Cricetulus griseus: one gene and its partner. Each later gene encodes a partner of the first gene's protein in a complex. Links are inferred from orthologs where the notes say so. Each region holds a gene or a part of one and is shown on either strand. Other genes may lie near its edges.

The links.
Region 2: the proteins of Cd40 (region 1) and Cd40lg are in contact, whole or in part, in a crystal structure (PDB 3QD6), measured with the Homo sapiens proteins. The link is inferred for Cricetulus griseus from reciprocal best matches to the Homo sapiens genes CD40 and CD40LG. Residues at the interface, in NP_001241.1 of Homo sapiens: Glu64, Ser65, Glu66, His76, Cys77, Gln79, Tyr82, Asp84, Asn86, Leu87, Trp109, Cys119; in NP_000065.1 of Homo sapiens: Ile127, Glu129, Ala130, Lys143, Gly144, Tyr145, Tyr146, Cys178, Pro217, Cys218, Gln220, Ser245, Gln246, Ser248, His249, Gly250, Thr251, Gly252.

What each region holds. Positions count from the first base shown.
Region 1 is NC_048599.1:14,348,147-14,364,636, forward strand, and holds the end of Cd40 (tumor necrosis factor receptor superfamily member 5), read right to left. Parts: intron 11,253-16,490; coding exon 11,174-11,252; intron 10,875-11,173; coding exon 10,749-10,874; intron 10,492-10,748; coding exon 10,345-10,491; intron 10,028-10,344; coding exon 9,934-10,027; intron 7,350-9,933; coding exon 7,288-7,349; intron 5,314-7,287; coding exon 5,224-5,313; intron 5,137-5,223; coding exon 5,105-5,136; intron 4,239-5,104; coding exon 4,050-4,238; 3' UTR 3,867-4,049; downstream 1-3,866.
Region 2 is NC_048604.1:15,197,200-15,213,179, reverse strand, and holds the end of Cd40lg (CD40 ligand), read left to right. Parts: intron 1-1,325; coding exon 1,326-1,380; intron 1,381-3,176; coding exon 3,177-3,239; intron 3,240-6,604; coding exon 6,605-6,981; downstream 6,982-15,980. UniProt on the Homo sapiens protein: Cytokine that acts as a ligand to CD40/TNFRSF5. Costimulates T-cell proliferation and cytokine production.

The DNA of each region.
Region 1 (16,490 bases):
ACACAACTCTCATTCCTCCTTGGATGGGCTAGAAAGAGCCAATAGACTTTGCCCCAGAGGAGGGATCCTGACCCAAGTAGCCTCATCCTGTCTAGTCTCCAGCCCCACCTCCTCAGCTCAGACTCCCATCTGCCCCAGGCAAGCACAGTCCTGATGGGAGTGAACTTAGACCCAGATCTCAGCTTAACAAGTTGTTTGAACTCTAAGCCCCATCTGTGAGATGGGTGCAATAAGAGGCCACACCTCCTACTGAGTGGTCAGGCTGAAACTGCGAAATGAGTGAGGCAGGGGTTCAGGCCTCAGCTACAAAGCATGGGACCTATGCAGAGCCAGCTCAAAGCAAAGCCAGCGTCACCTAGGATTGGCATGCAGCAACCGACGACTGTAGAATGTTACCTTGCCGCCACCTGCTGGCCACTGCCAGCCTCACAGCCACGCCTCCATGTGCCAACAGAAGAGCAGTGCCTGTAAGGGAGTAGGCTGGCTGGTCTTCCCTACAATATTCAGACTGAGACAGACCTTTAGGGAGCCAGTCTTTTATCAGAGATGTGTGACAAATGTCCATACCCCCCCTGCCCGTGCCCAGTATTGCAGACAGCTCGTGGCTAAGCTGGATGCTAAGAGATACTAAAGTTACTTTCCTATGCTTGGTTCTGCAGAAACTTCCAGAAGCAGACAGGAATGGAGGCAAGTGGTATGGCAGAGAGTTGAGCCAGGGAGCAGTAGAGGGAAACTAAACCTAGAAAGCAACAAACAGAAAGCAACGGGGCTATGTGCTCGCTGTGGGCACATGGGACTCCATCACTCTAGGGAGGCCACAAAGCAGTGTAGACACCCCTCATGGCTGGGGTGCAGTTGACATACTACTTGCCTAACATGAATGAAGCCCTGGATTCAGTCCCTAGAAGTGAATTAAATTGGACATGGTGGCACACACATATAATCCCCAGCACCATGGGATCAGAAGTCCAGGGCTATATGGTGAGCTTTAGGCCCCCCTGGCTAAACCCTGCCTCAACTCAGCTGGATTGAGAGTATGTGCTCCCAGACACTAACTCCCCCCAGCCTGGCCTGCAGCCACAGAAGGCAAGTATTCGGGACAGGGGAAGCCCCATCCATCGATCCCAAAGCCAACAGGAAATCCACTGCCTAGTCAGCAGTGTGAATGCCAAGGGCAGCTGTTCTCTGAGTATGTTCTCTGATCCTGCAGCATCGGGACCACCTGGGGAACTTGCTAGAAATGCAAATTCTTGATCTTGGTCCCAGATCTGAACCAGAAACATGGGAGGTAGGGCCCAACAATTTGTCTGTCTACAAACCTCACAGTTGGTCACTGTGTTCCTTCAAATCCAAGAACCTCTAACCTAGAGGAGAGCAACCATCACCTACAGCACCTGCTAGAAGAATGTGGCAGCAGGTAAGAAACTGGGAAGCAAAGGGGTGGCAATGACTCTCCCAAGTTTACTCAGATAACAAGTGACAGGTGGGTCTTTTGCCTCTATCCAACACACACACACACACACACACACACACACACACACACACACACACACACACACACACACACACACACACACACACACACACACACACACCACACACACACACACACACACACACCACACACCACCACCACACACACCACCACACACACACCACCACCAGCAAGTCAGGACCACCAACATTTGGGCTCTAGGCAGGGAAAGAGGATTAGGTCCCAAAGTCCCCCACCCCACCCCCACCCCATTTCCCTCTGCTTTCTAAACTAGAGCTTCCACCTGGTGCCTCCAAATGGCCCTGGAAGCTCTTCTGGGAAGACTGCCAAAGCCAGGTGTCCTTCTCTTGGCTTTCAGCGGCACCTCCCACCCCCAGCCTCCATCAGGACCAGCCATGGCATCTCTACCCTCCAAGCAGTGGGACCTCTAGGGGGATCCACAAGTGTCTGAGACCTATGAGTTAAGCCTCAGTGGGAGCCTGTGTAGGAGTCTCTCTGAGGCACCTCCTTGGCATGGTTCCTCCTCCCGCTCCTTGTCCCCCAGCCTTCCTCCCCTCCCCTCTGCTCCCACTCCATCTGCTGCTCCTCCTGGCTAGGCTCCCCCTCAGATGGCACAGCAGGAAAAGAGAACAGGATGCTCTATTTTTATCCTGAGACACTGCCGTGGGGCAGGAGAGGGCACCATCTGACTGAGAAGCACAGAGGAGGTCAGAAGGAAGTGGGGGACCCAGGGTCTCCCTGGAAGCTAGTGTCCACAGTGGCTAGGTTCTGGAAAGCAGCTTGGAACCAAGAATAGGAGTTCATGGGCCACTGCACACCACTGTGTCACCATTGGCAAGTCATTCCCCCTCTCCATACCCATTCCTTCCACCTGTAAAATGGGGGGGGGACACAGACCTTGCCTGTCCTAGAAGGCTACTTCTGTGAACCCGAGGCCTCGTAAACTTACCACTGAATGTGAGCACACCGGCAAAATTCCCTGGAGGCCCAGAAGTCTGGGGACACTCTTACTTGAGCTCAGAAAATACCTAATTCTTCTATTCTAATAGCAAATTAAATATCTCATCACCTGGCATGTCTACCCTTAGTCTCCTTTGTACATGTTTGATGATTTTTTAATTATGTAAGCATTATATGAATCTACTGTCCCCTTGGAAAGATAATGAAGCATTATGGGAAACCCAACACACACACACACACACACACACACACACACACACACACACAACCTACCTCCAGACCTCATCACTCTTTAAAAAAAAAAAAAAAAACAGTTCATTTATGTGTACACGTGTTTTACCTGTGTGGTATGTACATGTATCATATATGTTCAGTGCTTATAGATGTCAGAAGAGGGCATCAGATCCCCTGAAATTGGATGGCTGTGAGCTACTATGTGGGCGCTGGGAACCAAACCAAGACCCTCTACAGGAGCCGGTGCTCTTAACCACTCGGCCACCTCTTGAGACACACTCCTGCCGTCTGGATTTTCAGTGCTTAGTAACACATGTAACATGTCCTATTCACAGCATCATAGCTTTCCTTCCATATCTACATAGACTGTGTTCAAGCACAGTGTGCAGCCTGCTTAAATACGGTTTAAGGAAGGGTATGTGACAGCTTCAGGTGCTTTGTTTTGGATGTTGGGAGAAGCTGTTGTTCTTTAGTGGTTTTTTGTTTTGTTTTTCATTTTTTTTAAGACAGGGTTTCTGTGTAGCCCTGGCTGTCCTGGAACTCACTCTGTAGACCAGGATGGCCTCGAAACTCAGAGATCTACCAGTCTCTGAGTCCCTAATGCTAGGATTAAAGGCATGTGTCACCACCACCCAGTTAATGTTTGTTTTTGAGACGGTATCATGTAGGTCAGGCTAGCCTTCAATTCACTATGTATTCCAGGCTGGCCTGGAACTCCTGGTTCTCCTGCCTCTTCCTCCTGAGTGCTAGTATTACAGGCATGAACCACCATTCCCATCTTGGGGTATGCACATACACACTCATGCATGCATGAACATGGACCACAGAGTGCCTGTGGAGGTCAAATGTCAATCCTCTGGATTTGGTTGTCTCCTTTTACCATGTAGTCCCAGGGATAAAAATCAGGTGGCTAGCAATTTACCCACAAAAGCTATCTTACTTGCCTGGGTATGTGTTTTTAAAGGTTGTTTCTCTACCCACCATTCCACTACCTGTTTTTGTTTGTTTCAGTTGATAGTATTTCTGAGATCCTGTTGTATAAATACATTACAGATTTATTTAGCCAGTCCCCTGCTGATGGGCAATCAGGTGTCTTCTAACAGTACAAGCCACAAAGCCATAGACTGTGGTGTCCATGACTCCTGATAGTGAAAGCCACCAGGATACATCTCTGGGTCCTGTATTGCTGCACTCTCTGGATCCCTGATGCCCAAGCTTTTCCTCCATCTTTAAAAGCAAGACAAGGGATGGCAGCTGGGCAGGCGCGGCAGTTTTTGTTCCTTTCGAATCTCAAATGTCAGCCGCCATCCGAGCCAGGCCCTTGCCCTCGTGCCATCACCACTGCAACAGTTCCAAGATCTCAGACCAGGTGCTTCAAGTCCATGCTGTCCATCAGTTGTCTCTCCTGCACTGCTATGCGGCTCTCCTTGCCGTCCTCCTGTGCCACAGGCTGACTCCCAACCAATGTCTCCTGCACTGGAGCAGTGTTGTGGCCAAGACAATCTTCTGTCTCCGTAGGATCTCCCGTTTCAACAGCAGGGAGTGAGGCCTGGAGAGCCAGGGTGTGAGAGCCAAGGTCACCTCTAGGCATAGAGCCACCCTGTCCCTGAGGAGTAGAATCCTTCCTCCAAGTCCCTTCCCCTTGGGGGGGGGGTGATAATCAAAGCTGATTTCTCAGATACCTCCTGCCCCCTGCTGGACACATGAAATTTGGCAGGAAACTTCCAGAGTCAGAGTCAGCCAGCAGAAGAAGCTGCCCCTCTGGTTCCACCTTCTGGCCTCTAAAGGCTGGACTTCCCTATGTTCCAAGCCAAAGGAAAGCATGGGCAGGGTTGTTCTGCCAATGGTGCCTGGCTCCTCCCAGTGGGGAAGTGATTAGTTAGAGGACGGAATGAAGACCGTGATTCAGGGCAGGGTAGGGGTAAGAGTAGCCGACTGTCACCTTACTGGCCCCAGGGACAGACACTGAGCCTGTTCCCTTCCACCCACCCACCCATCCATCTCTCTCTGTCTCTCTGTCTCTGTCTCTGTCTCTCTCTCCCTCTGTGTGTGTGTGTGCTCGAGCACGCTCACGAGCACATGTGTGTACATATACATAAGGAGTGTGGTGTTGGACGTATGTACATGCACCCATGGAGACCAGAGGTCGATGTCACTCTCAACCTTATTTGCTAAGTCAGGGTTTCTTTCAGAACCTGGAGTACCTTGTGTCAGCTAGACTGGCTGGCTAGCAAGCTCTGCATGTCCACGTCCCCTGCCAGCCCTGACGTTACAGGCTTTTTTTCGTGGGTATTGGGTCTAAATTCAGGTTCCTGGGCTTGTGTAGCAAGCACTTTGCCCACTGAGTAGTCATCTGTCTCCCTGTGCCACGCATGAGTCTCCCAACCTGCCCACCAGTCACTCTTTCCAGCTTACCTTATTATCCTCTGGTTCCTTGACCACCTTTTCTAGAGAGAAAAAGAAGGGGTGAGGCTTTGGGAGGGCTGGTTCTGCATCCCTGAGTCCTCCCCCTCTTCCCTCACAGGGGCACTCACTGATACAGAAAGACACCGCTATGAAGATGGTGATGAGGACGGCCATCACAATGGGAATGACCAGCAGGGCTCGCGTCCGGGACTGCACACCTGCAGAGACAGACTTGAGTGGAGCCACTGGCAGATGCTCCCACTCCTTGTCCAAAGCAACTGCGTCTTCCAGCATCTGGACCTCCTGAGGCTGTCAGAGCTTTCAAGCAGCAGCATTGTGGGTAATGTTGCATCAGGGGATCTTTTTAAATGCTTCTGTGGTATTTGCCAATGGTTATGAACTGAGAGATGGCGTATTTGTGGGGGGACAGCGGATGTGGGTGTGGCATATGTGCAGGTGTGTGCATTCAGAGGCTGTCCTGCTCTGTCACGTCACCTTCTACTGAGCCAGGGTCTCTCACTGAGCCTGGAGCTAGTCTGTCAGCCAACAAGCTACAGCAGTTCTCCTTCTTGTTGCATTGGGGTCACAGTCACCCCAATGCCTAGTTCATGCTTGCACAATAAACACTCTTACCATCTCTCTAGCCCTGGGAGATTTCAGTTGGGAGGATCACACACACACACCCCAGTCAGCCAACTTCCCACCTGGCTTTCACCAGCTTTGTGGTGAAGGGAAAGCCTGCCTGCCTGTTTCTCACACCCCCTGCTCTCTTCCCTAGCTGCGGCTGTTCAGCTCTTGTGTCTACATTGTTAACATCTGCTATGGAAGTGTGGAGCAGAGAAATAAAGTATCTCTTGTGTCTACATTGCTATTCCAAGTGACAAAAAAAGACCAAAAGGCAGGAGGCATCAGAAGCAAGGGGTGTAACCACTTCCCCATAACAAGGAGACAAAAAAATTGAATCCTCTTTGAGACAGGGTCTCACTAATCGGCTCAGGCTGACCTTGAACTTGGGGTTCTCAAGCATCAGCCCCCTGAGTACTGGGACTGTAGACCTGTACCACCACACCCACCTGATAGATAGGGATGCAAACACCAACAGCACAAACACTGGCCCATAGGCGGCTACACGGCTTTTAAATAAACTTGTATTGGAACCAGAGTCAAAATCAGGATGATGTAAGCAGGATCCACACATCTGGCAAGGCCAGCTCCTACTCGATTTTAAAATTTGCTCTTTTGTTTATCGCAGGTTTTTGTTGTTTTTTTTTCTAGCATAATATCAAAATGTTTTTTCTCTTGCTTGCTGTCCTTTTACAATAGTTTATTGCATGTCACAGATGACCTGTGCTTCTGTCACCCATTCCAGTCACATCTTCCCAAGAGAACAAAGTCAATCTCGAGAAAAAGCCAAGAGATTGTATCTTTATTTTCCTTTCCCTTTTTGGCATTGGGGATCTAACCTAGGACCTCACACATGCTAGACTTGTGTGGGGGTCTAATCCAGGACCTCACATACACTAGTGTGTGGGTCTAACCCAGGACTTCACACCTGCTAGATTAGTGTGTGGGTCTAACCCAGGACCTCACACATGCCAGACAAGTGTGGGAACCTGGGTCATCAGGCTTGCACAAGAGCTTAGCTTAATGAGCCGTCTCAGTAGCCCTCTTTTTACTTTCTATGTTGAGACAATGTGTTCCCAAACTTCCCAGGCTAGGCTTGAACTTGCAAAATTCTTGCCTCAGATTCCTAAGTAGCTGTGCTGACAGGCCCACTCCCCAGACCCAGCTCTCTTACCCCTCTCTTTACTCATTCAGTGACAACCTAGTCCCTGAATCTGAGGTCGTGATCCAAGCCTCTTGTCAAGCTTCTCATCCTAGCATCCAAACCAAGGCTAACAGGTGACAGTGTCACAGTGCACCCACACCTCAATTGAGGGGCAACAGAACTGTGCTCACAGTTTCAAAATAGTAAAATTCCAAGACATGCTCTCATGTAAGGGAGTACAAGTAAGGGAGGTGCTGCTGCCAACCCATTTCACAGTTGAAGAAACTGAGGCTCACACAGCAGATGTGACTCATCCAGCTCCCAAGATACAAGCTGAAGTACTATTCCCCAAACTGCCTCTTGCCTATGCGTCTCTGTGTCCTCTTTAAAACACTAGGCAGGACCCGTTCTCCCCTGGACTCACCACAGACAGCGTCAGTCCGATTCGTCCCTTCCTGCTGTACCACCATGTTTTTGGCCTCGCAGCTGCACAAAGACACATGTGAACACATGTATGTGCATGCACACACACATGTAGAGAGGGAGAGAGAGAACAGGGTTCCCCAACCATAAGACTTCCAAGCCCAGGGGAGCCAGGCAGCAAGTGGCAAGTCCAGGTTCACTGAGCATGTGGCTTACAGTGCAGCATTCTGAGCTGGTCATTATGGGAAGGGCGGGAACATGCACACAAGTGAAAGGAAAAATTACTGCTTATATTGAAGGAGGGATAGCCAGGAGTGTGGATGATACCGGCCGGGCTTGATGATAAGGGCTAAAACAGAGAGGGCATTGTTCAAAGGCAGGAGCCTCACGGCTGGAATGAGAGGGGATGAGTTTGGTTCTCAGTGGAGCATCTTGGCACCCACAGGTATTTTGAGCTGGGAAACATCCTAAGTCCCAGAATATTTCACAGCGCCTCTGTCTCCACCAGCTAAATGCCAGGAACAGCACTCTAACCAATTACGGCATCTGAAAGATGACCAGATGTGCCCAAGGTCCCATAGAGAGCAAAACTGGTCCCTGTTAAGGGTCTCTGGTTAAGGGTCTTTGGGGGAGACTTCTCCATGGAGACATCGAAGGATGTGAAAGAGGGAGCCAGCCAGGTGGGACCAGTGTGACAGGAGAGTCAAGGAGGCACCTGTGATGATGGAGTGTCCTTGGCACCCAGCCTCATGACCTAACTAGAAAGAGGAACTGCTCCCAGGTCACTCATGCAGGAGACGTTGCAGAAGAGTGGACAGTCGGCTGAGGCCTCCAGAGGGGAGGGGCATTCCAGATAGGAAGCAGAGGGTCCCTGAGACAAATTAGGGGATCCACAAAGGAAGATCAGAAGGGCCCCAAAAGGTACAAAAGTTGAAACAGCAGCACACACCAGCTAAGTGGTGCAGTGTGGCGGGCGCACATTTGACTCCGGTACAGGAACCTCCATGATCAGCTAATACCCACCAGTGGACACTGATGAGTGCCTCAGGTGGCACCATTCCAAACACAGAGTAGAGACTCATGGGAGGGGGGAGGCTTGAACTCTCCATTCAAGCAATTGTTAGCCTTTGGGGAGGGGAAAGAGAGCCCTTATACAAGGTAGGTCACAACTTGTATAAGGTGTGTGTGTGTCTGTGTCTGTCTGTGTGTGTGTGTGTGTGTGTGTGTGTGTGTTTGTTTCTTCTTTACTAGAAGAATCTCTGGAAAGGAGCACTGGGAAAACAGCCTGAGGGGAGGGGCTTGTTCATTTAAAACAATAAATGTAAAGAGTTAATGGGGCATGTACTTAAGGGTTCTCCCAGGCAGGAGACTTTGAAGCAAAAGAATAAACAGTGTGCTCAGGGGTACAAATGCAGGGTACAAGATATGGGGGGAGAGTTAGAGGATCGTGCCGGACCCCAGCCCCACCCCAGAGCCAGGACTTCTTCCCAGAGGCAGCAGAGAGCCATGGAGTGCTGTAAGCCACAAAGTACTGTGATCCAAAAAGGGCTATGGAAGGTCACAATGGCAATACAATGCAGAACCAGCCAAGAGGTAAAGAGCCTGTGAAGAGACGAAGCCATCACCACACTACAGTGATGAGGCCCACGAGACCACACTAGAGAGTAAAGAGGTGGATTCCCAAGACGCTCATAGCAGACTATAGACCTGACTGAGGTAGAGGTGAAGGCAAAGGTGTGCGGCTCTATGTGACTGCCTCAAACCAGAACCTGCCTTTCCCTTGGGGCTTGGCTGGGTGCCCATTCTGGCTATACAGAGACTGAGGTGTTGGGGAAGCTCTACATTCAGCAGCAAGACTTGACCATCTGGGGCCCAAACCACAGATCCAGGGGGAAATGGAACCACGGATGTAGATAAGACAGCCCAGGAGAGGGGGAAAAGTAACTGTGGAGAAGAGGACTCAAACAAAGCACCAGAAAGTCAACTAAGAGTCAAGAAGGGCTGGGGGATAGATAACCCAGTCAGGAAACTACTTGCCCTGTAAGCATGAGTTTAATCCCTAGGACCCACATTAGAAAAAAGAAATCCAGGCTTGGGGACATATGGTTGTAATCCCAGTGCTGCAGAGGATGCAGAGGGTCCCTGGAACCCTGACCAGGCAGCCTAGTCTACTTAGCAAGTTCCGGGCCAGTGAGAGACTGCCTCAAACAAAAGAAAAAGGTGGATAGTACCTGAAGAACAATGCCCCAAGTTGCTATCTCACACACACACACACACACACACACACACACACACACACACACACACACGTGCACACATGCATATGCATACACAAGAGTGTGTACACATACACGTATGTACAAGTGTGCGCATACACCTACACGCCCAGAAAGCGGAAGAACTGACAAGGAACATTCATCGAGAGAAAGGGGTGCTGTGGTGCCTCAAGATGAGAGACTTCAGGAAGGGAGGGAGACCCAGATTCTATTAACTAAGCAAGAGCAGGCAAGAAAAAAGTGCAGAAAGTGTCCCTTAGGCCAGCCATGAGGGCACATTCACAAGCGAGTGAGTCACTGAACAGCAGGTGACTGGAGAAACTGCCACAAGACCCACACTACTTTTGGTTAAGGAGAGGCAACCCTTCTACCTGGTCCAAGGATGACATTGTTCAAAAGCTGATGACCCACTGGAGAAGAAGCCGGCTGGGCAGGGTTCACACACCGTATCGGCAGTCCGTGTGGCTGGGAGCATGTGGGGAGGATGCATCAAGAGTCTCTGTGAGTCACGGTGTCACAGCCTGAGCCTGCCTTCAGCTCCTTGCCCCGGCGCAGTGGTGGCCCTGAAGACTGCAACCCAACAGGAGTCCCCTTCCCCTTCCCCAGGAAGTTGCCCATAGCCAAGGCCAGAATGCAAAAGATCCCACTTCCTGTTACCCAGAGGGAAGATGCCAGTCCAAGTGGGAGTCGCTATCCCCTCAGCTTCTGGGGGCCAAAGCCAACTGCTCAACCCCAGCTCTTTTCTTCCACCCATAGAGCTGTTTCCCAGGGAGGCCACTTACCCATCTGCTTAACTCCAAAGCCAGGGCCACAGGATGTGTGTTGAGCACATCTCTGGCACTCCTCACTAGTGCAGTGTTGCCCTTCCTTACAGGCACAGATGGTGTCTGTATCTGCAGTACCCTGCTTCTCAACCTCAAGCCCTTCCTCTGATCAGAGATGAGAAGGAAGAATGAGAAACCCCCCTGGGCCACACTAAGAGTCCTACTTCTCATATCCTCTCCTGTTTTCTTACATGCTCCTCCTGGTACAGAGGATGATCAACTAACTAACTTATTCAACAGCCCAAACTCAACCCAGACTCCCACCCACAAGGACAGACCCTAGCTACTGAAATCGGAGGGATGTCATGATTTGGAATATCAACCCAGTTCTCAAGTGCACCTCCCCAAGCAGCCCCACGCACTGGATTCACAGTGTGTATGCTGGTAACACCGGAGCTCTTTGTTCCACTTGTTCATGAATTCGCCGGAGTCACACAGAAGGCACTGGGTCTTGATGGCATCCGTGCAGTGGCTCTCTAGTCTCCTTCCTGTAAAATACCAGAAGGAAATAAGGCAGTTTCAATCCTGTGAAACAGATCCTGTCACTACCCAGTGAGCCAGGGCCTGGGGCAGTGGAGCTTGGGTCCACCTCAGACCCTATATAAGTGGGGAAGATGGAAGAAGACACAGGGCAGGCAGCCAGGGGCATTCTGGCATCAAGGAGGGGGAGGGGGGATGAGCCATTTTTAGCCTTGAGTTCACAGTTCATACATAGGGTCTGTATCTGCCAGCAAACCATGAGGGAAGGAAGGGTCTTGGTATGGGGCTGGAGAGGCTAACATCTCACCTGGCTGGCACAAGTCGCAGCACCGGCCATTGAAGAGGTACTGTTTGTCATCGCATGTAATGCATTGTCCTAAATGGACCTAAAAACAGAAGTGTGTAACTGGAAGGGATCTCTGACAGGCATGTTGAAAGTTAGCCAAAACACAGACTGTAGCAGATGTGGAAATCCAAAGCAGAAAGAAAGCCCCCACAGTATGAGGTATACTTGATTTTAACTCTACTGCCAAGTGGTGTGGTTATAAAAGGCATCCAGAGAGTCATTCTGCCATCTTATAAAGCAAGAACTCAGAACTCTCTCACCCAAATAGATCCTCTTGACTCCTCAGTGCACCCGAAGACCCAGCAGGAAGGGAGAACTCAAGAACTTCCTGTAGAGCCGGCTGCTGGCTCCAGCTGGCCTCAGCCCTTCTCCTGAGTGCCACCATGCTTTCTGTCCCCAGCTCCACATCAACTGATGCCAGAAGGATAGGAGTCATTCTATGGAGGGCAACACTGAGGCTGAGTGAGACACCGGGCAGGTACCCTCAGAGCTCAGAAGAGCGAATCAAAGCGAATCAGAAAAGCTAGAGCTACAGATGGTTGTGAGCTGCCCAGCATGGCTGCTGGGAACCTAATCCCCAGTCCTCTGCAAGGGCCACACATGCTCTTAACTGCTGAGTCATCCTCCAGCCTGTATTGTGATCCTTAAAGTCAGGCTACATTTTTTTAGTGTTCCACAGGGACAGAATCAAAGTTCTCAACATGTCCTCTCTCCATCGACCACGTTTCACTCCCGCCATTTCCACCATAGCATAGATGCCACCCATGCTATGAACTTGCTAACTTAAACACACTTCTCTTTACTGTAAGTCTGTTATTGCCTTGAGAGAACAGCCAGTATCACTTCCCATAAATTAAAAAGAAACCCTAAAAATACACGCAACTGACTCTTAACAAGGTTAGTAAACCTCAGCTAGTCGCTGTACTTGCTGAGTGCCTCCTCCCTGGGCCTGTCTTGATTTTAGTTTTAAAAGTCTTTGAAAGGTATTAGCTAGCCAGGTGTGCCTTTGCAGGCCTTCAATCCCAGCATTTGGAAGGTAGAGGCAGGCAGAGTTCAATGCCAGTCAGCCTAGTCTATAAAGTGAATTCCAGGACAGCCAGGGCTACACAGAGAAACCCTGTCTCAAAAACAAACAAAAAAGACAAGGAGGGAAGGAGGAAGGACATTAACTATGGTCTAACTCCAGAGACTTGCTCCTTGAAAACTAAGGACAGTCAAGGCACCCACAGCCAAGCCTGATGATCCAAGTTCATTCCCTGAGAACCACAGGGTAGGAAAGACCGGCTGCCATAAACTGCCTTCTGACCTCCACACATACCCTGTGGTACTCATACATGCATGCATACATACATACATACATACATACATACATACATACATACATACATACATACGTGTAATAAAAAATGAATTTTGTTTAAAGTGAGAAAGTTTTCTTTAAGAACTATAAAGTGAGTCTGTGCTTTGGTGTGTGCGCACATGCATTGCCCTGTTTGGGACTTGGAGCATGCACTTGCCACAGTTCAGGTGTGTGGAGGTCAGGGCACAGCATCTGTGGCAGTCCTCACCTGCCACCTGTTTAAAGTGGGTCTTGTCGCTGTTCTCAGCTGCATATGGCCAGCTGGCTGGCCTGAAAACTTCGGGGACTCTCCTGTTTCACTGTAGGAGCTTTAGGGTTGCAGACTTCTACCACACACTACCTTACATGTTTCCAGGGATGAACTCAGGACCTCAGGCTTGTGCTTCAACCACTGAGCTATTTCCTCAGTACTGTACTTGAGGATTTATGTGAGGGTTTTTGTTTTTTTTTTAAGACTTTTAAGTTTTAGACCAGTGGTGGTGGCACACACCTTTAATCCCAGCACTCGGGAGGCAGAGGCAGGCGGATCTCTATGAGTTTGAGGCCAGCCTGGTCTACAGAGTGAGTTCCAGGACAGCCAGGGCTACACTGAGAAACCCTGCCTCGAAAAACAACAACAACAACAACAACAAAAAGAATTTAAACATTTTTTAGGTTTATTTACTTTATTTTATGTGTACGAGTGTTTTGCCTGCACCAGTGCCCTTGGAGGTCAAAAGAGGACACGGGATTCCCTGGAACTGGTGCCAAAGCTGGTTGTGAGCCACCATGTGGGTGCTAAGAAACTGTACCTGTGTCCTCTGCAAGAGCAACAAGCGAAGTGTTCCAAGGATCTGTCTAGCCATAAAATGTATTTTGTTATTGATTATGGGTAGATATGTGTCTATATGTGGATATGTGGGGTGGGGGGGACAGGTCCTTTAGAGTTCAGAAGATCGAATCAGAAACTCCTTGGAGCCAGAGTTGCAGGGGCTGTGAGCTGCCCATTGTGGGTGCTGGAAACCCAACCCCAGTCCTCTGCAAAGGCCACACAAACTCTTAACTGCTGAGCCATCCCTCCAGCCTGTATTATGTTCCTTAAAGTTGGGTTACATTCTAGAAATACCCATGGCTAGGGCTGTGGGGAGACCTTGTTTGAGAATGAGACAAATCGCTCTGTAACACAAACTAGTTATCTTGCTTTTCTGAGGCTGAATTTCCACACCATTAAAGATCTGTTTTTATTGTTTTGTGTGCCAGCCCAGTGTGGGTACTAAGAACTGAACCTGGCAGCATGTGCCCTCTCCCACTAAGCCATCTCTCTAGCCCCGTTTCCTCACCTTTAAAATGGAATTATAACACCTGCCCCAGAGGTCGGGTTGAGAATGTGAGAGAACACAGGTGCACGGGCTGGCAGTCTACCATGGTGAGTGCTCACCAAATGGCAGCTGTATTCGGCTCACACATATGAGTGTCTGCTTGGGTGCCCTGCACCCTGGCAACTGACTGTCTGTCCAGGATTCAGCTAATGGATTGCTCTAATTCAACCTGGGTATCTGAGCAAATCACTTAATGAAATGCATCTGAAAGCTCCTCCCACAACAGCATGTCCCCAGGCATCGACTTTCCCACTCTACTTCTAGAGCAATAAAAGCCCTGACAGCATCGCTGAGCAACTGAAACAAGACACCTCTCCTCTGATGACTCTCCACCCCAGTTTTCATTCCCCAAAGTTCTCCACAAAGTTCTCAGGGCCACAGCTTGGGGACCCCTTGCCACGTGACAGATACTGATTCATATCCATCTTGAGAGACTTTGGGCAAACCCTTTCCCCTTTCTGAGCCTCATTTTGGTCATCTGAAACAGAGGAGTCGGGAGAAATCAAATGGAGGCTATATGCAATCTCTCTCCCAGCCCCATGTACAGAAAGACCTTGATAAACAGCACTTGCTATTTCCATCAGGGCCCAGCCGCTACCTGGAGCCCAGATTGGAGCTCACAAGGGCAGACTTTGCCCTCAGGTAGTCCAGACCACCCTCCATCACACCTCTGTTTCTCCCTCCATTCTACCCACAAGGCTCTCATCCACTTCTCTCCCACTCTACCCTCCTCCTGCATCCTGTCTCCCTAAGAGACATTGCTCAGAGCAGTGGTTCTCAACCTTCCTGACGCTGTGGCCCTTTAATGCAGTCCAGTTCCTTGTGCTGTGGTGACCCCAACCATAAAATTATTTTCGTTGCTATTTCATAACTGTAATTTTGCAACTGTTATGAATGGTAATGTAAAAATATCTGTGAAAGGGTTGTTTGATTCCCTGCCCCCAAAGAGTTGAGACCTACAGGTTGAGAACCACTTGCTTAGAGTGAAAATGAAAGCTTGGAAAGCAGCTTCTTCACTTAGTCTCCTCTCCTGTTGCTGACCCCCACAGTTATCCCTGCCCAGGCCACAGGTCAGAATCTCCAGCCCTCAGCTGGAGTTGGTACAATGGCTGCACTGCAATCACGAAGCCCTAGGTTCCGTTCTTAGTGCCACATAAAACCGGTCATGGTGGTGCTGGAGAGATGGCTCAGAGGTTAAGAGCACTGACTGCTCTTCCAGAGGTCCTGAGTTCAATTCCCAGCAACCACATGGTGGCTCACAACCATCAATTATGAGATTTGGTGCCCTCTTCTGGTGTGCAGATATACATGGAAGCAGAATGTTGTATACATAATAAATAAATAAATAAATAAAATTGTTTAAAAAAAAAAAAAAAGGTCATGGTGATGCATGCCCGTAGACCCAGCACTACAGAGAAATTCAAGGACAGGAGAGAGGGCTCAGCTATTAATGTGCTTACCACATAAACATGTGGACCAGAGTTCAGGTCCAGAAACACATGCAAATGCCAGGTATTTGCAGTGGCCTTCCTGTAATTCCAGACTTACAAAGCAAACGGGGGATCCCCAAAGCAAGCTGGCTAGTGAGACTGGCCATATGGGGAGCTCTGAGTTTGATTGAGACCCTGCCTCAATGAGTAAGGTGGAGAGTGTCCGAGAATGACTCATAGCAGCTTCAGGCAACCACATACAAGAACACACATGTATCAACACAAATGTATACACACATACAAACAGTACACACTCAAAAAAATGGGGGGGGTAGAAACTGAAAGTCATCCTCAACTATATAGCGAGTTTGAGGTCAACCTCTGACACCTGAGATTCTCTCTCAACTCAGCTGGTTGATAGCATATGCTTAGGGCACTGAATGTCCCTGTCATGTTGTCCCTTTGAAGCCAGGCCTGTAACATGACACCTGCCCAAGTGACACCTGGACAAGTCGGAGGGAGTTGGCTGAAACACCTAAATCCTTGTCTCCAAACCAAAAAGATTCTACAGCGCTTGAAAACACGGGGAGCCCAGCCAGAGGGGCGGGGATGAGACTCAGGTAGTCAGGGGATTCCCAGCCTCCAGAATGAGGAACTGCAGAAATACATTTAAACCAAAAGTCAATCAAGTGATAGCTTCTGGAAATCCCGGAGATACGCTTGGTTGGGTCTGAGCCATTCTGGTGCCTGGAGAAACCATGGCTGGTCTCTTCACCCTTTCGTGGGTTCCATGGCTATTCCTCTCTTTGGGTACCTCTTCCGCCATCTTAGGTGCAAGAGGAAGAGGCATCAACCTGGGATTCCTCCTAGATTGGCTTGGCTATGTCAGGTGTGGCGGGTTTAGATCACCTCTTACCAAGAAAGTACCCAGGGTCTTGTTCCCACAAGATGCCCTGGAAAAAGTGGCCCAACTAGCAGGGAGAACATAACCACTGATGACAGGCGTCTATCCACAATGGGAAAGTGACAGGAAACCGGCCAGACCCGCCCCTTCCCCTAGCCAGGCTACCTTCCTGTGCACTCGGAACCCACTTTCCAGTCTCCGCAGCCAGCTCCTGAGCCCAGGCTTG
Region 2 (15,980 bases), on another chromosome or scaffold:
CCCCATTGCAGCTCAAATGGAAAGTTGGTCTGTGGAGCCCATGTGAACATCTGTGGAGCCCATGTGAACGTTTTGAGGCTCAGATTCCACTTTGGGACTCCGTGCCTTAGGTCCTCACATCTGGCAACCAAGCTGAGTGTACAGCTAAAGTAGTTGAGAGTTACAACACAAATGCCTTCTTGGGGTGATGAATGTGAAGATATGAGGTTCCAGGAATGTCAAGGAGTACAGGACTCTCAGATGTGGGTGCACTACTATTTTCTTTCCTCTCTTGTTCAGAGTAGAGTGATGAAACAGACTGAGGCAGGCCTGTGGATATGATCCTATGTTCTGAACTTCATTTAATCCTCAGACCCTTTGGATAACCTCATACTTGCTAGGCCTTTCATTCATTTTCATTCTCCTTAAAATGGCGGCGATAGGTGTTATCATCTCTCAATCTACATAGAAGGAAGTCTGGGTTAGCTTCCTTAAGTCAGTCTAGTATTCTTTCACCTTATAAGTAAAAGAAATCTTTAAGTGTTGCATCTAGCTAGTCATTATGGTACATGTCTGTACTCAGCATTTGGGAGGTAGAGGCAAGAGGATCAGGAATTCAAGGTCACTCCCAGCTTCATAACAAGTCCAAGGTTAGCCTAGGCTACCTAAGAACCTGTCCTAAAAACACAGAACAATTTGCATAGAATTTTCTAAAGAAATAAATAAAATAAAATCTTAAAAGAGAAACAAGAAACTATGTGTTTTGAACACCATCACCAGCATTAGAAGATGGCCTATATTTGCTGAATGTTGATTAATCTACATAAGTACAGGCCACACGGGATAGCTATCCACAAAAGCACATTCAAAGAGAAAGTCTGGATTTCTCTCCCATGATCATATTCAAATATTTTCCTATGAGGTTTCAAAGCAACCTTATCTGAACAGGCCCACACCCCACATTGTGTTTGATAATATTCCACACGCCAGCTCCCAGTGTTGAATTATTGCCCCATTCAGCATTATTCATCAATATCTGTCACAGGCATTGAGGTCAGGGTCATAGAAAGGGTCAGAATCACAACCTCTGGTCTTGGGAGAGCACTGTAATGGAGATAATAAGGCCTGGATTTTGCTTCTAGGATCTCCCCTGAGTTTTCTGGGCTGTCAGCTCATCTGTCAGAGCCAGGAACTCCCAATTGCTATGATGGAATTAATGACAGCATCTTAGTCTATATTATAATCCTCACCAGGCACGGACAACATAGTTGCCAAATGAATGAGACCCTGAAACCCCAAAATCAGAGCTTCTGTCAACTGATCTTTTGCAATGATTCTCCTTTTAGGATATAAAGTTAAACACGGAAGAGAAAAAAGAAAACAGCTATGAAATGCAAAAAGGTATGTTGCTATTTAGCTATTTCTACAAGTTCTTAAAGAGTAAGACCACATGAAACAGAGAACATTTAGCCCTGGAAAGAAAAGACATTTGTCAAATAGGTACCCTCTCAGGCCTCAGTGATAGAAAGGCTTTTTATGTCCATACCAATGAGGGTATGTTCCTGTAATGTTGGTAACATCAAATATGAAGGAACCCCACATCCAATACCTTTATCCAAGCGATTACACAATCTGGCTCCACCTTCAGAGGACCAGATGACAAGAAAGTCATCTTTTGGTTAAAAAAATGACATTCATCATTCAATGATAACTATTTTATGAGAGGATGGTACCCAGTGGGTCTCTGGGATCAATGGACACAATACTACATTCTAATCTTTGCCCTGTTCTTGACGTGAGAGTGTCCTGGACATCTAGGGGTCAGAAAGGGGCCTTGACGGCTCTCAGACCCAGTACACTCTTGAGAATATGAATCCCCTTAAAAGCATCACTGAACAAATGACCTCTGCTCAGACTTGTCTAGAGATAGGATGCCTTACACTTAATAAGACAACTTGGACTATTTTTGAACAGCTCTAATTGTTAATTATATTAAGGTCAACATCTATTCAAAAAAGTCTTACCTCAAATTCCTGGAATGTCTCCTTACTGGACACATTACTGTTCTTTAAGGCCATACTAAACATAGAATAATTACTCCCTTATATGAAAGCTGTCTGGTTACTGAAGACAGCAACCACGACCCCGAGTTTCCATTGAATTTTTTCTATCTAGGCTAAAGATACCCAGCACCTTCCACTCTTCCCTTTATGATCCTTTCAAGGCTCTTTCCTCTCCCAGCTATTTCCTCTTCTGAGCACAACTCTCCCCAGTCCTTTGAGAATATAGCACCCCCAAACCATGATATGTGGAGTGACTTTAGTATAAAAGGAGGAGTGCTGCTGCAGAAGCTATTATACTGCAAAGTTATTGAATACAATGCTGCAGCTACAGAAATCTAATGTACAAGAAGAAATGCATACATATAAAGACAGAAATTAGATTTCCTTAGGTGAAGAGAGTGCTCTGAACCTGTCTCAACCACGGGTCTGATGCCCAAGGCTCATCTGATTCCCCTGAAGCTTTCATCCTCACAGTGACTATGAGACATGTTCAGTGATGCCATGTTATCTGCTAATTGCAGTGAGCTTTTAAGGAAAAGCCCCTGTGGATGTAGGTCTTTCAGGTAATGCATAGTTTTGTCATCAAAACATCCTTCATAATATACCTACAAAGTTCTCAAAATCATTATAACTGGAAAGAAAGCTCCTACGGATTCTATACTTAGGAGATGAACACTTTTAATTGGGAAGCAAGGCTCTTGCAAGGGAAAGAAAGCTCAGTTTGATAATCTGGATAGTCACTTGAGCAAATCAGACACGATAATCATGTTACTAGCTCAGTGCCCAGCCACAGCTTTGGTGTCCACTACCATTCCAGTGTATGGCAGTTGTTCTTGCTTTTGTAAGATTCAAGACAGATTTATTGAAGACAAATGTTTTGGCTTGTGTCCATTCCGTGTTAAGTGGAATGGAGTATTGAATATCAGAGAAAGGGATCAATGGAAATAGCCAATAAAGTTTTTTTAATGTATTAGAAACTACCTTTTCCTTCAGTGGGAAGGATTAGTAGACCAGTTTTCCTTCCTTTAAGGTAAACTGCTCTAGCTAATATACAGTTGTAGAACAGTACCCATTAATTCCACGTGCAGTTGTACATTTCGTTGGCCTGACAGTGTGCTTTTGGTTTCACTTCAGGTGATGAGGATCCTCAAATTGCAGTACATGTTGTGAGTGAGGCCAACAGTAAAACAGCATCTGGTAAGTCCCATAGCATCTGAGTGAAAGCCACCCAAGTGTTTGAGTGTGTGTGTGTGTGTGTGTGTGTGTGTGTGTGTGTGGTGTGTGTGTGTGTGTGTGTATTGCATGCACGGGGAGGGGGTACTCCAAAGCTATGCAGCCTAATCATTAGGCTCTTCTCTTCCTCCAGGGACCAATTTACAAACCTACCCATATAACTCTCAAACACTGTCCTTTGTTATCAAAGTCAGCTCAAATGCACAGCTGGGACTTAGAGCGGCAAAAGGAGGTGGGGAAGAGTCCCGATGTTCTCATTATGTTTTTGCTCAGTGGCTGATTCTAAATGATGAATGACTGAGTGAAGGAACCATTATTTTACAAGCATAAAAAGAAATGGCAGGTAGTGGCCTCCTCACTGGGAACATCTGTCCTCCTAAGACCTCCCCACTGTACATAAATGGGTCTCAGGAGGTCTTTTTGTCATCTGTCAATCCCTGTATGATTAACCCCAGCCTCAGTGGGGCTGACCTCAGGGAAATTAAAGGTAAAAATCATTTTGTAATGATCAATAGGCGCCAAGAAGTTAGATTTTTCAATGAAGTAACAACAGATGGCATATCGTGATCTTTTCAACACCGAATGCTTTTATTTCCACATATATCCTACCATCATCCTAGCCCATATTTTCCCCCAAATCTCTGCCTTGTGAAAGCTGATGCTGTAGAATGTGTCACATCTGTAGATGGATGGAAACGTGTGTGCTAGCATAAACTCCCCATGTATACAAAGGCATGAGCATCAGAGCAGCATTTGAAAGCTTCAGCAGAGTGCTCTACAATGGACTTCTAAGTCATGTGTTTGTGTATGCGTGTGTGTGAGAGAGACAGAGAGGGAGAGAGAGAGAAACACAGAAAAACAAAGAAGACAATATCTTGTCTCTGAGGTGACTTGAGCTACTCAGGGTATAACACAGATGCACATACTACATGATATTGTGGCTCACAGCACAAACGTAAGAGTCCTGGTTAGGGAGTTCATGAACACTGGGTTTCTAGAGCCAATAACCACATACTCATTGTCTTTAGACAAATCCCATTCATTCTGTTGCAGTTTTCTTTCTCACATACTTCCCAGAGTAGTTTTGGATATCAAATCAACTAATGTGGGAGAAGAGTTACATTATTAAGCTATGCTATACCTGAGTAAGGTGCCAGTACTTAGCTTGCTTCACTGTAATATCCAGAAAGTGACATAAAGTCCTTCATGGAGACCAGTTGTTCCTATAATATTTATTAATTTTGTCATATAGCATTCTCTAAAAATATGCTTACAGAAAAGCACCACAATTATTGCTGTAGCCAGGGAATCCATTCACATGATATATTCACTTTTGCATTAGATTATAATAACAGAGAAACCTCTTAGAATCACTTCCTACTGATCTTTATCAAGTTCCACCTAAATCTTTTGGGACTTGGGTATATTTAGTGGAATTTTGAATTTTTCAAAAGGCCTACTAGAATTGGCACTGCCTGTGAAATATCTCACAGTCTATATCACAGTAGATCTATCTGCACAGGACAAAATAGGAAATAGTATAGGACACTGTAGCTCCAAATTTCTCATTCTTTCCTGGACATGATGCTATAAACTTGACCTACATGCCCCAGAAAGAACTTAAATGAAGTAGGGAATTAAAAAGGGGAAATCGGGGCCTAATGGCACATATCTGTAATCTCAGTGCTCAGGGGTGGGGCAAAAAGGATTAGATGTTTAAAATCATCCTAACCTACTAAGCAAATTCCAGGACAACCTGGGCTATAGGGGACAGAGGCAGGTAGCCTGGTCTGCATAGCAAGTTGCAGGCCAGCAAAGGATATGTAGTGAAGCCCTGTCTTAGAAATGAAAAAATGCAAGGGAAGACCCAATTCATTAAACAGAAGAGAATCTGCTCCTTTTTTTTTTCTAAATCAAATCGTCCAAAAGTGAAAACATCATAAAACAAACATCCTTTATGGAGAATGTCAGGTACCCAGAAATACCAGGTGTGGTGAGATGCCTTCTTACCCCCCCAAAAAAAAGTCTGAATAAGAAGCATCTTATGCTGTAGGTGATGTAAAGCCACAAAATAAATTATTTGGAAAATCTCAAGAAAGCAAATATATCACTACTTTTAGTTCTCCCCACCTCCCACCCATTGCCCCCATCAAACCTAGCTCTCTGTGGAAGCTGAGATTTTAAATCATGTACACACATGACTTTGAACCCACTCAACATCTCAGCAGAGAAAATGGTACACTGTTGGTGGGGACTCTGCTGTAGCCACAAGAATATGGGTACTTTCATGTTGGTGGCACCCACTACAAGGAGAGATGAAAACACAGTTAAATGAGCACATGGTTTATTTTCATACTTCCTTGCCTATTTTAGGCTTGGTCGTGGGAGGCAGGTCAGGCCTGCAACAGCATAAGGTAGAAGGAAGACATAGGGTCTTGTCTCTGAGCTGTCGCTAATCTAGGTGGACTGACAACTATAGAACTCATGATAAGCTAAATATTCACATATTAGCAAGAATTTTCTGTAATGCATAATTCTGAAAACATTAGCACTTCACTTTCAAACCATTTATTCATTTGTTCATGAATTCATGTTTGCATAAGTATGTCTGTGTGTATGTATACTTCAGTGAATGGTAGTGGGAGTACACAAAGAACAGAAGAGTGCACTCTTGTCTCATCACTGCCGACCTATTCTCCTGAACCAGGGGCTTTCTTTGAACCTGGGACTCATGTTTTCTCACGTAGGGTCGATACCAACATGTCTCTGTGATCTGCTCTTACACACCACCTCTCCAGTCCCTTTTGTATTGCTGTTTTGAGACAGGGTTTCACTTAGCCTAGGCGGATCTCAAAGTCATTATGTGGCCAAAGATGACATTGACCTTAAACTCAAGATTCCCCGCCTCAGTGTCTGGGAATTCTAGGTGCATATCACCATGTCTGGCTGATCATTTGCACTTTTCTTAAATTTAAGGGCAAATTGGTTCTAAAGAGAGAAAGCTTCCTGTTACCTGCTAATTTATTTAACTTTTCAATGTCTCTAAACTATGCTTTCATATTGTCCCTATTCTGTTGCTGAGGAACTTAGGCTTGGGGAGATCAAGTGACTTGCCCAAGCTCAAAGAAAACCCAGGTTTCAAGCTTACACTAACTCTGAAGCCCATGTAAACTTGGTATCTATAATTTCCCCATGCTTCTGTTGTCCATATGGTGCCTTGAGAACTCATTCTCACATGAAGTCAACATCCAGCCTTAAACTTTATTTCCTGTTAGAATATGTGCCATGCTGTGCTTATGCTCACCAGGGTTTCCCCCTCTTTGTTACAGTTCTACAGTGGGCCAAGAAAGGATATTATACCATGAAAAACAACTTGGTAATGCTCGAAAGTGGGAAACAGCTGACTATTAAAAGACAAGGACTCTATTATGTCTACACCCAAGTCACCTTCTGTTCTAATCAGGGACCTTCGAGTAAAGATCCGTTTTTAGTCAGCCTCTGTCTGAAGTCCACCAGTGGATCTGAGAGAATTTTACTCAGGGCAGCAAACACCCACAGTTCCTCCAAGCCCTGTGGCCAACAATCTGTTCACTTGGGAGGAGTATTTGAATTACAAGAAGATTCTTCTTTGTTTGTCAACGTGACTGATGCAAGCCAAGTGATCCACGGAATCGGCTTCACATCTTTCGGCTTACTCAAACTCTGAGCTGTGTGCTGTCCTAGGCTGCAGCAGGGCTGATGCTGGCAGTCTTCCCCATACAGCAAATCGTTAGGACCCGCCCCCTGTTGAACTGCCTATTTATAACCCTTGGACCCTCCTTATGGAGAACTATTTATTATGTATCCCAAGGCACTTAGAGCTGAAAGAAGAAATTTCCAGGGCAGGCAAAATCCTAACGGACCCTGCTCCCTAAGAGCTTATCATCAGAAACAGCAGCTCTGCTGATGCATCCAACCAGAGAGCCCTAGGAAAAGACAAAGCCATAACGCACAGATGACAGAGCTCGGATGAAACAGTAGATAACTGATCAAGCCAAGTTGTGTTGCTTTATGAGTGTGTCTTTCAGCGGACAGTGCACTTGACTTACCAGGAAACATGCAGAAGGGCAACTGTGAGCCTTAGCTCACAATCTATTATGGTTGACTTGGGGTCTTCGTGGCCCCAGTAGGCCAGTTTCTAAAGTCTCCCAAGGAGAACTGAGAAACTCTGACTCCACCTTCCCCCCAATACCCAAAACTCAGTCTTCCAATCTCTCCAATCTCTCTCTCTCCTCTCTCTCTCTCTCTCTCTCTCTCTCTCTCTCTCTCTCTCTCTCTCTCTCTCTCTCTCTCTATACACACACACACACACACACACACACACATACACATACACACACACACACACACACACACACACACACACACACACACACACACACACAGAGTCATGCTGTTGCTAACTGGTTCTCTTATTATCTACCCTGTCCCGGTCTACAGCACTGTCAGGGCACTATAGACAGCAGCTCCTGGCCTGCCCATTCCTCCTCATGGAATGACTATATTTAAAGGAATCTGGTGTAGCCCCCTGCAGTCTCCATTGTTCCTGTAGTGAACTTAATGATTATGTTATTATTTATTTTTGAATAATAAAGAGCCTTTACCATTATTGTTGTTGTTTAGTACTTATAGCTCTCCGCCAAGTCGGGGAGGAGGAAGGAAGCATTTGGAGGGACTTTTGCCAACATTTTTTGCTGTTACCATAAAGTTAGTTCTCAAGCTGAACACACAGAAAGCTATCTCAGTGACAGAATGTCCTCTGCAAGTGTGTCATAGCCTTTGATAGATGACACAGAGCCCAGTTGGTGGAAAGCACTATGGGCCTCGAATTCTAACTTGGTCTGTGAAGGTTGCAAGAGATTGACATTTTAAAAATTGATCACAGCTAATAGAGACTGGAGAGAGAAGCTTACATGAGAAGCAGTAGCAAATGTTTTCAACAACTGTTTAGGTGGTTCCACTTTTAGCAAGAGGAAACGGAGCCAGAGCGTCGTGAGGGTGGTTATTGGCCCTACAGACTTCCCACTAAAGCCAGTGGAGTCACCTCTTGCAACCTCCAACTGTGGAGTAATAAATGAGGATGTAAGAAACTCAGTTTAACCGGGGGAATGTTTTGCTTAACAGAAACACATTCATAAAAAAAAATACTACTGTAAAAATGAAGAGCGGGTGGGCAAAATGTCTTTCCTCGTGCCCTTGCTCTTCAATAGTGCGGATGACACAGCTGCATCGTGACTGGAGCTCTTGCATCATGACAAGCCAGTGTAAAGCTGAAACCATGCAGAGACAAACTGGTGTGTCTGCACACGCCACCAACAAGAGACCTTTGGTATGAACAAGAGTGCTGTTTGTGGCTTTTAGGAACTCACTAGAAGTTATGCACACTGGGTGTTTCTGCCCTCCAGGAGCAAAGACCCTTCTACTATATGAACTTCTGGTCGGGGTCAGGGTGGCTTCCCTGTAGAGGGCCTTTCTGGCAAGTGTGAGGCCCTAGAGTCCATGTAAAGTACTGCAAAAGGGAAAAAAGCATCAACAGACAAACGTGAGGCAGCAGCCATGGCAGCCTAATAGACAGTGGCCATGATGTTGTTACACTGTGGGCCACCCTTACGAAGGCCAGAATCCTAAGCCTCCTTTAAGGAAGGCATTGGCTGAGTCAAAAGAGAGTAATAAAACACACAACATAATTCTCTCTTCCTTAAGGCAACTGAATGTCCATGTTGTGGAATAATCTTCCTTATGCATTTTGTCTGAGGTAGAGTTTGTCACCTGGATAGGCTTATTTTTCTTTTACTTTTTATACATTTTAATTAAGATATAATTACATCACTTTCTCCCTTTCATTTCCTACCTACAGCCCTGTCCAAGTCCCCTCCCTCCAGTTCCTGCCATGTCCCCCTCTCTCAAATTGATGACAGTCTCTTTTTATTTGATTATTACTGTTGCATATATATAAATTTACAAGTATGCACAAGTACATGACTATAACCCACTGAGTTCATTTTTGTTGTTTATGTGCATATGGTTTCAGGGCTGACCACTTTGTAAACAGTATCTCCTAGAAATGTCTGTACAAACAAGACCAGAACACCCAGGCAGATCTTTAAAAATAATCTTCATAAACTCATGTTCTCTGAACTTAAATATTACTCCGTGTTTTAGCCAACCTTCTTGTTCCTTGGGAGCCATTATCTTCCAAACTATTTCTATTTCTAGTAATGATATTTTTTTCAAAAAAGCAGAGCAGGATGATGGTGTACAAGCGAGATATAAGCATGGCTTTGGGGAGAGGAAGAAGGATTGCAACAAATTCAAGGCCAACGTGGTTTACACAGTGAGAAGCAGGCTAGCCTGGGCGGTGCACTGAGGCTTTTTAATCAATTAATTAGTTAAATGTTTGTAACCAGAAGTGATATCATGGATAGAAAACACTGCATTTTTTTTTTTGTTCAAGATAGAAAAGGAGTGGATGGGGAGGGGGAAGATGGGAGTTGTGGGGGAAGGAGGGAACAGCAGGAGAGCAAAGGGGGGAACTGTGGTGGGTGTGTAAAAGAAAAGAAAAAAAGCTAATTAAATAAAATGAAAAAGTAAAAACCACTGCATTTTCTAGGCTGCCTCCTCTTTTCCTTTAGTCTCTACTGCCCTCTAGATGCTGCTTCCTCTAGTCTGGGAACTTGTTCTCTAAAGTTTCACCCCAAGTAGCCAAAGGTGCTCAGCCTCTCACCCGGTCTCCTCAAGGTACCCTTGCTCTTTTGAAAGACTCTAAGTGCGGCCCTTCACCTTCTCCTAAATGCCACAGGCTCTCCCTGCTAGATTCACGCTTTGAATAACCACCTACATGTTATTGGTGGAATACTGGTGGGATAGGGGTGTTGGGATTTTTATTTGTTTGTTTTGGCTATGCTTTTGAGATGGGGCCTCCCTCTGTAGCCCAGGCTGGCCTAGACCTCATTATGTATTCCTTGCTGGGATCAAATCTCTGAAGATCTTCCTGCCTCCAATTCCCATCCTCCTGGGATGGCAGGAGTGAGACACTTTACTCAGGTAATAGCTTGAGTAATTTTCCTGCGCCTCAACAGTGGGCTCAGGCCCTTATATCTGATGCACAGAGATGGAACTCCGGATCTTGTTACCTGTATGGTAGCCTCTTCTTTCAGTGTTGCTCATTCCACGGAATGCCATCTTTCTCTACCCTGTTTAACAAACGAGAAACCTGACTTGACCAAGAACCTTCTGCCTCCACCTCCCAGGTGTTGAGATTATAAGCCTATGACACCATGCCTGGTTGGTTCAGTACTAGGGGTTAAACCCAAGGCTTTGTGCTTGCTAGCCCATAGTGCTGGCTTTATAAACATGTTACTTCTACATTTCATGGAACAGTGAGGCAGGAATAATTGAAACATTCACTCATTTTTTTCTAAGTAAACAAACGATAAAATATTGCTGTCTTTGCTATCAGATAGGAAGCAAGTAACCACAAAATGCAAATGTGTGCTGCAACACTTTCAGCACAGGAGCACCCCGCTTACAGAGAAGCAGCTATAGACTCCTGTGTACCAGGCTTTTTCTTTTAGGCCACCAACCAGCTCCCAAATCATGACACAGAGACTTATTCTTAGTTATAAATGCTTGACCTAGATTAGGCTCGTTTCTGGCTAGCTTTTGAAAATTCACCTGTTTCTCTTTGTCTACCTTTTGCCTTGGGGCTTGTTCCCTTTCTTATTGCTGTGTATGTGACTCTACCTGCTTCTTGATGTCTGCCTGGTTAGCAGGTGCCCAGCTTCTTGCCCTGGGTGTGTCACCCCTTCTTTCCTCCTCTTCCTTCTCTTGTTCTTCCTTTCTCTCCTCTAGAACTTAGAATTCTCCTATTCTCTCTCTGCCAACCAACCCTGCCTATCCTTTCTCTGCCCAGCTACTGACTGTTCATCTCTTTATTTGACCAATCAGATGCCTAGGCAGGGTGAAACAGATGCAACACATCTTTATATAAATAAACACACATCCTTACATTGTTAAACAGATGCAGCATAAACAAAAGTAACACACCTTTGCACAGTTAAAGTAATATTCTTCAGCATAAACAAATGTAACACATCTTTACAAAGTTAAAATAATATTCTACAACATTCTTGGGCTTCCAGATGGGACATATTTTGCAGTGTATTCAACTATCGCCACAGGACCAGATTCACAATACTGAGAGCTGCTCTCCCTCAGGACTTTAAAGTGGGAAGGCACCTGGAACTAAGTATGACTGTTAATCTGTTCTTGCTACAGTGTTACGGTTAACTCTGGAGCTAGTCAAATAGAATTATAATCCAGGCTCCACTATTTATCGACTTGATAACTGTGGACAAATCATTTAACGTTTGGGTCACTGTGTCTATATCAGGAAAGTGGGGACAGTGAGAATATTGTATTTCTAGGGTTGATAATGACTCAACAAGAGGGTACACAGAAAGTCCTTGTGGAATCTGCTCTCAGGCTGTTCATCAAACGAAGCACACTGTGAAACCCAGAACAGTGCTCTGCATTCAGCGCTGCAAGTAGGAGGGCTGGGAAACCTAAGGTGGTTGGAACGTTGCAGCCAAGGATCCTACTTGGCAGCTCTGACTACTGAGAATCCTGAGGTGGTACAAAGAAGGCACTGAATGTGGAGTGAAGGGAAAGCAAGAAAAAATACAAAAAGGAGAAAATATAATTGGAGTAGGACAGACTTCTGTGAGGGAGGGATAGGAGATGAAGGGAAAGGGAAGAAAGGGGAGGAGACAGACAGAGAGAGAGAGAGAGAGAGAGAGAGAGAGAGAGAGAGAGAGAGAGAGAGAGAGAGAGCAAGCATAAGGGGACATGTGCAGCAGTGCACATCTGTGAATCTGTAGCTCCAGCATTAGGGTGCCTGAGACAGAAAAGCAGCAACTTCAAGACCAGCTGTAGGCTGCACTTGAGTTATCTGAAACCAGTTTGAGAAACATACTGAGATACCATCATTAAAAAAATTGACACTGTTGGGTATTGAAAAGCATTTCCCTAAATTTGACAGTTCACTGCTTGACTGGAGATGTGGCTCATTCATAAAATGTTTTTATGTCATGCTTCAGGCCCTGGGTTCAATACCCAGTAGCCCATAAAACCAGGCATGGTAACACATGCCTGTAACCCAAGAAATCAGAGGTAGAGGCAGGAGAATTAGAAGTTCAAGGTCACCCTGAGCCACATAGTACATTTGAGGCCAGCTTGGGATACACAAGACCTTGTCTCAAAGAAACAAACAAAAAGGAGTTCACTGAAGACTTCACAGGGGTTGACAGCTGATGTAGAAGCAGTGCTTAAACAGGTACAAAGGGCAGAAGGGGAAATGGGCCACATAGAGCATTAAGCCCAAGAGATAAACCAGAAGATAGTCTCAAATCGCATCCACCACGTACTGCCATGGAAGTCAATATCGCTGTACTTTTATTCATCTGTAAGATGGAGAGAACCAGCAAGAAAGACCTGATAGGATCACTTGAGCTTCGCACGACCCTAAATATGTGGATCATTTAATACCGTGCTTAGTTTGTGCGAGGCACAAAGTTAAATGTAACTGGTCAAAGCAAGAAAGAAGCAGTCAGACAGCTTGAGCAGAAAGTTAATTTGATAGCTACAAAAATGCGGGGTCATAGAAGTGAGAGGCGGTGCGATTCTGGTGAACTAATGGCCTCCAAGTCATCCCTTGGCAGTTGTGACCCAAATGTTAGGAAGCTGCTGCTATGACCACTGCCTGGCACTGTTATTGCTACAGTGTCACCCACAAAGATTGAGCAGAGAAACTGCAATGTGGACTACAGACACCAGAGTATCTGGGGAACCTCCTGCAGGCCACCAGAAGACAGACTTTGTCTGAATTATACTCCCCCATCTTCTTAGCATAACTGGAAATGTATGTGAAACCTCGCCGTATTTAGAACCCTTGCTGCAAGACTTTGGAAGAAAATGTATGTTTGCCCTTATGCTTTCAGGGGAAACAATGGTATAGGAATAGTCAGTGTGGACCACTAAACAGTATCCAGTTCAATTTGCCTCCTCTCCTCTCTCAGTCTGTATAGGGAATAGGTCGACATCAGGTCTCTTTGCACATGGCTCATGCATCTTTTGGATTTTTTGAACTTTATTATTATGATGTGTGCATATTTAGGATGGAGAGGGCATGCACTCAAAGTATCACAGGTAGGGAGAGGTTAGAGGACAACTTTGTGAAGTTGGTTCTCCTCTTCCACTGCTACGGGTGTTCTGAGGATTGAACTTAAATCACCAAGTTTTCATGGCAGACACCTTTACTCGCTTAGCTATCTCACCAGCCCCACATTAGTTTTGGAGCTAGCCTCTCACTGGCCTGAACTCAGTAAGCAGCCTAGGCTGGCTGGCCAGCGATCCCCAAGAATCTACCTGTCTTTGCCATTTCAGTTCTGAGGTTATATGTGCGTGTCACCACACCACTTTTACATGTATTTTGATGATCTAGCTCAGAGTCACTTGCTTTTACGGCAAGAATTTCATCAACTGAATTATCTCCCCAGCCCACAGTTCAAATACTTTCATCCTGACTGCTGACACCAGAGACCACAATTGAAAACATCACAGATTGACAGACTGTTGTACAATACAAGAGGGATGAGTACATGGATAGGACAATGAATGTATTTTTAATGTTGGAAGGAAAATTGTGAGATGCACTTCAAGTGGTTTGTTAAGTTGAGGCCAGAAGATGAAAGCTAGAGAAGGGAAGGGAAGTTCTATGTCACCATAGATGACATTTGCTCACTACTTTACAGGGATGATCACACTAGGAAATAGACGCTTAAGTGGAAAACGTATGTTGGGGAAAGCCTGATGCGAATGGACTAGCTAAAATTTCCAACCTCAACTTATTCCTCACCATTTCTAAAAGAAACAAAATCATATGTTGAAGACCGAGCTGCATTCCCATGTTCATGGCAGCGCTATTCACCTAGTCAAGATCTAGAATAACCTACAACTGCGCATGGTGGTATGCACCCTTTAATTGCAGCACTTGGGAGCCAGTGGCAAACAGATCTCTGTGAGCTCAAGGTCACCCTCCCTGGTATATAGAGTGAGTTTCAGGCTGCCCATGGCTACACAGTGATATCTTGCTTGAAAATAGATAGATAGATAGATAGATAGATAGATAGATAGATAGAATTAAGGTATTATATGAATAAAAATGTGGTAGATATGTACACACAATGGAATACTACTTGGCCTTCAAAAAGAAACTAATTTGTAACAGCATTAATGAACCTGGAGGGAATCGTTCTACATGAAATAAGCCAGGCTTGTTTATAAAGATGAACACTGCACATCTCATTCCTCATATGTGGCATATAAAAACAGAAACTCATAAAAGTAGCTAGTAAAGTAGGGCTTAACTAGGGCCTGGGTGGGAAAGAGGACATTATTTTGATCACAGTGAACAAAGTTTCAGTAAAACGGGATGAATTCATCTATGCACGATACAGTGACTATTGTTAATACTATTTTTATAGTTCAAGAGTCAAAAGCAAAGATTTTAAATGTCCTACTACATATATGATAATATTTGAAGTGATAAATGATATGTTAAATCAGCCTATGACCAGATAGCATGATATATGTGTGTACTGAAACCTCACACTGTTGTCACCAATATGCAATTTGTATTTGTCAGCTGAAAATAAAATAACACTTAAGAAAACCTGATGTGGGATGTCCGTCTGTATGTTGTGAATATGTGTTGCTTTTATTGGTTGATGAATAAGGCTGTTTGGACCAATGGCCATAGCTAGGTGGGAAATCCAAGCATAGTTACAGAGAAAAAGAAAGCAGAATCAGGGAGACACCATGTAGTTGATGGGGAAGCAAGAAGTGAGGTAACAAACCACAAAATAATAGAAATGGGTTCATTTAATTGTGAGAGCTAGTTAGTAATATGTCTCAGCCATTGGCCAAAATACTGTAATGAACGTTAAGTCTTAGAGTAGTTATTTGGGACCTGGCGGGTGGGACAAGAAACCTCCAACTACAAAAATCTTCCTAAACACCAATCAGTAGAAAAAAATAAACAAATTATCTTATTTATAAAGCACTGTTTATTCTTGTTTATTGAAAATGTCCATTTTAAAAGTCTTTAAAATAAAAACAAGTTTAGAAAATCTGAGTTCCTGTAAGAAGGGACATGACAAACAAGAAACTGAAAGGCCTCTAAGGGCAGCAGTTTAATTACAGAGGAACAGGAACCCATTTATAGAGTATTGTAAACAACACAACTATGGAGACACGGCTGTTGGGTTAACATGGCTTCATTTCCTTTATATTATTTAGTGTGTAAGCGCAGGCAGCCCACTGCACAAGCTTCAATATCCCAAGTACCAAAAACCTTTCCTTAGAAAGGCAAAGTCCCCAAACATGCATATGTACACAACCTTTTAGAGACCTAACCAATCAACTAAATTATTTGGTAATCACTGAAGTGATTACTATGGACAAAATCTGCACATTTATTGCAAACTTTTGACTAAGCACAGACAGGACACATGTGAACATCTGGGTTACTACTGTTGTTTCTTGTTTTAAAATTTTGCATGAAAGATGTCTCATAAAAATTTCTGGGCGGCCGGGCGTTGGTGGATC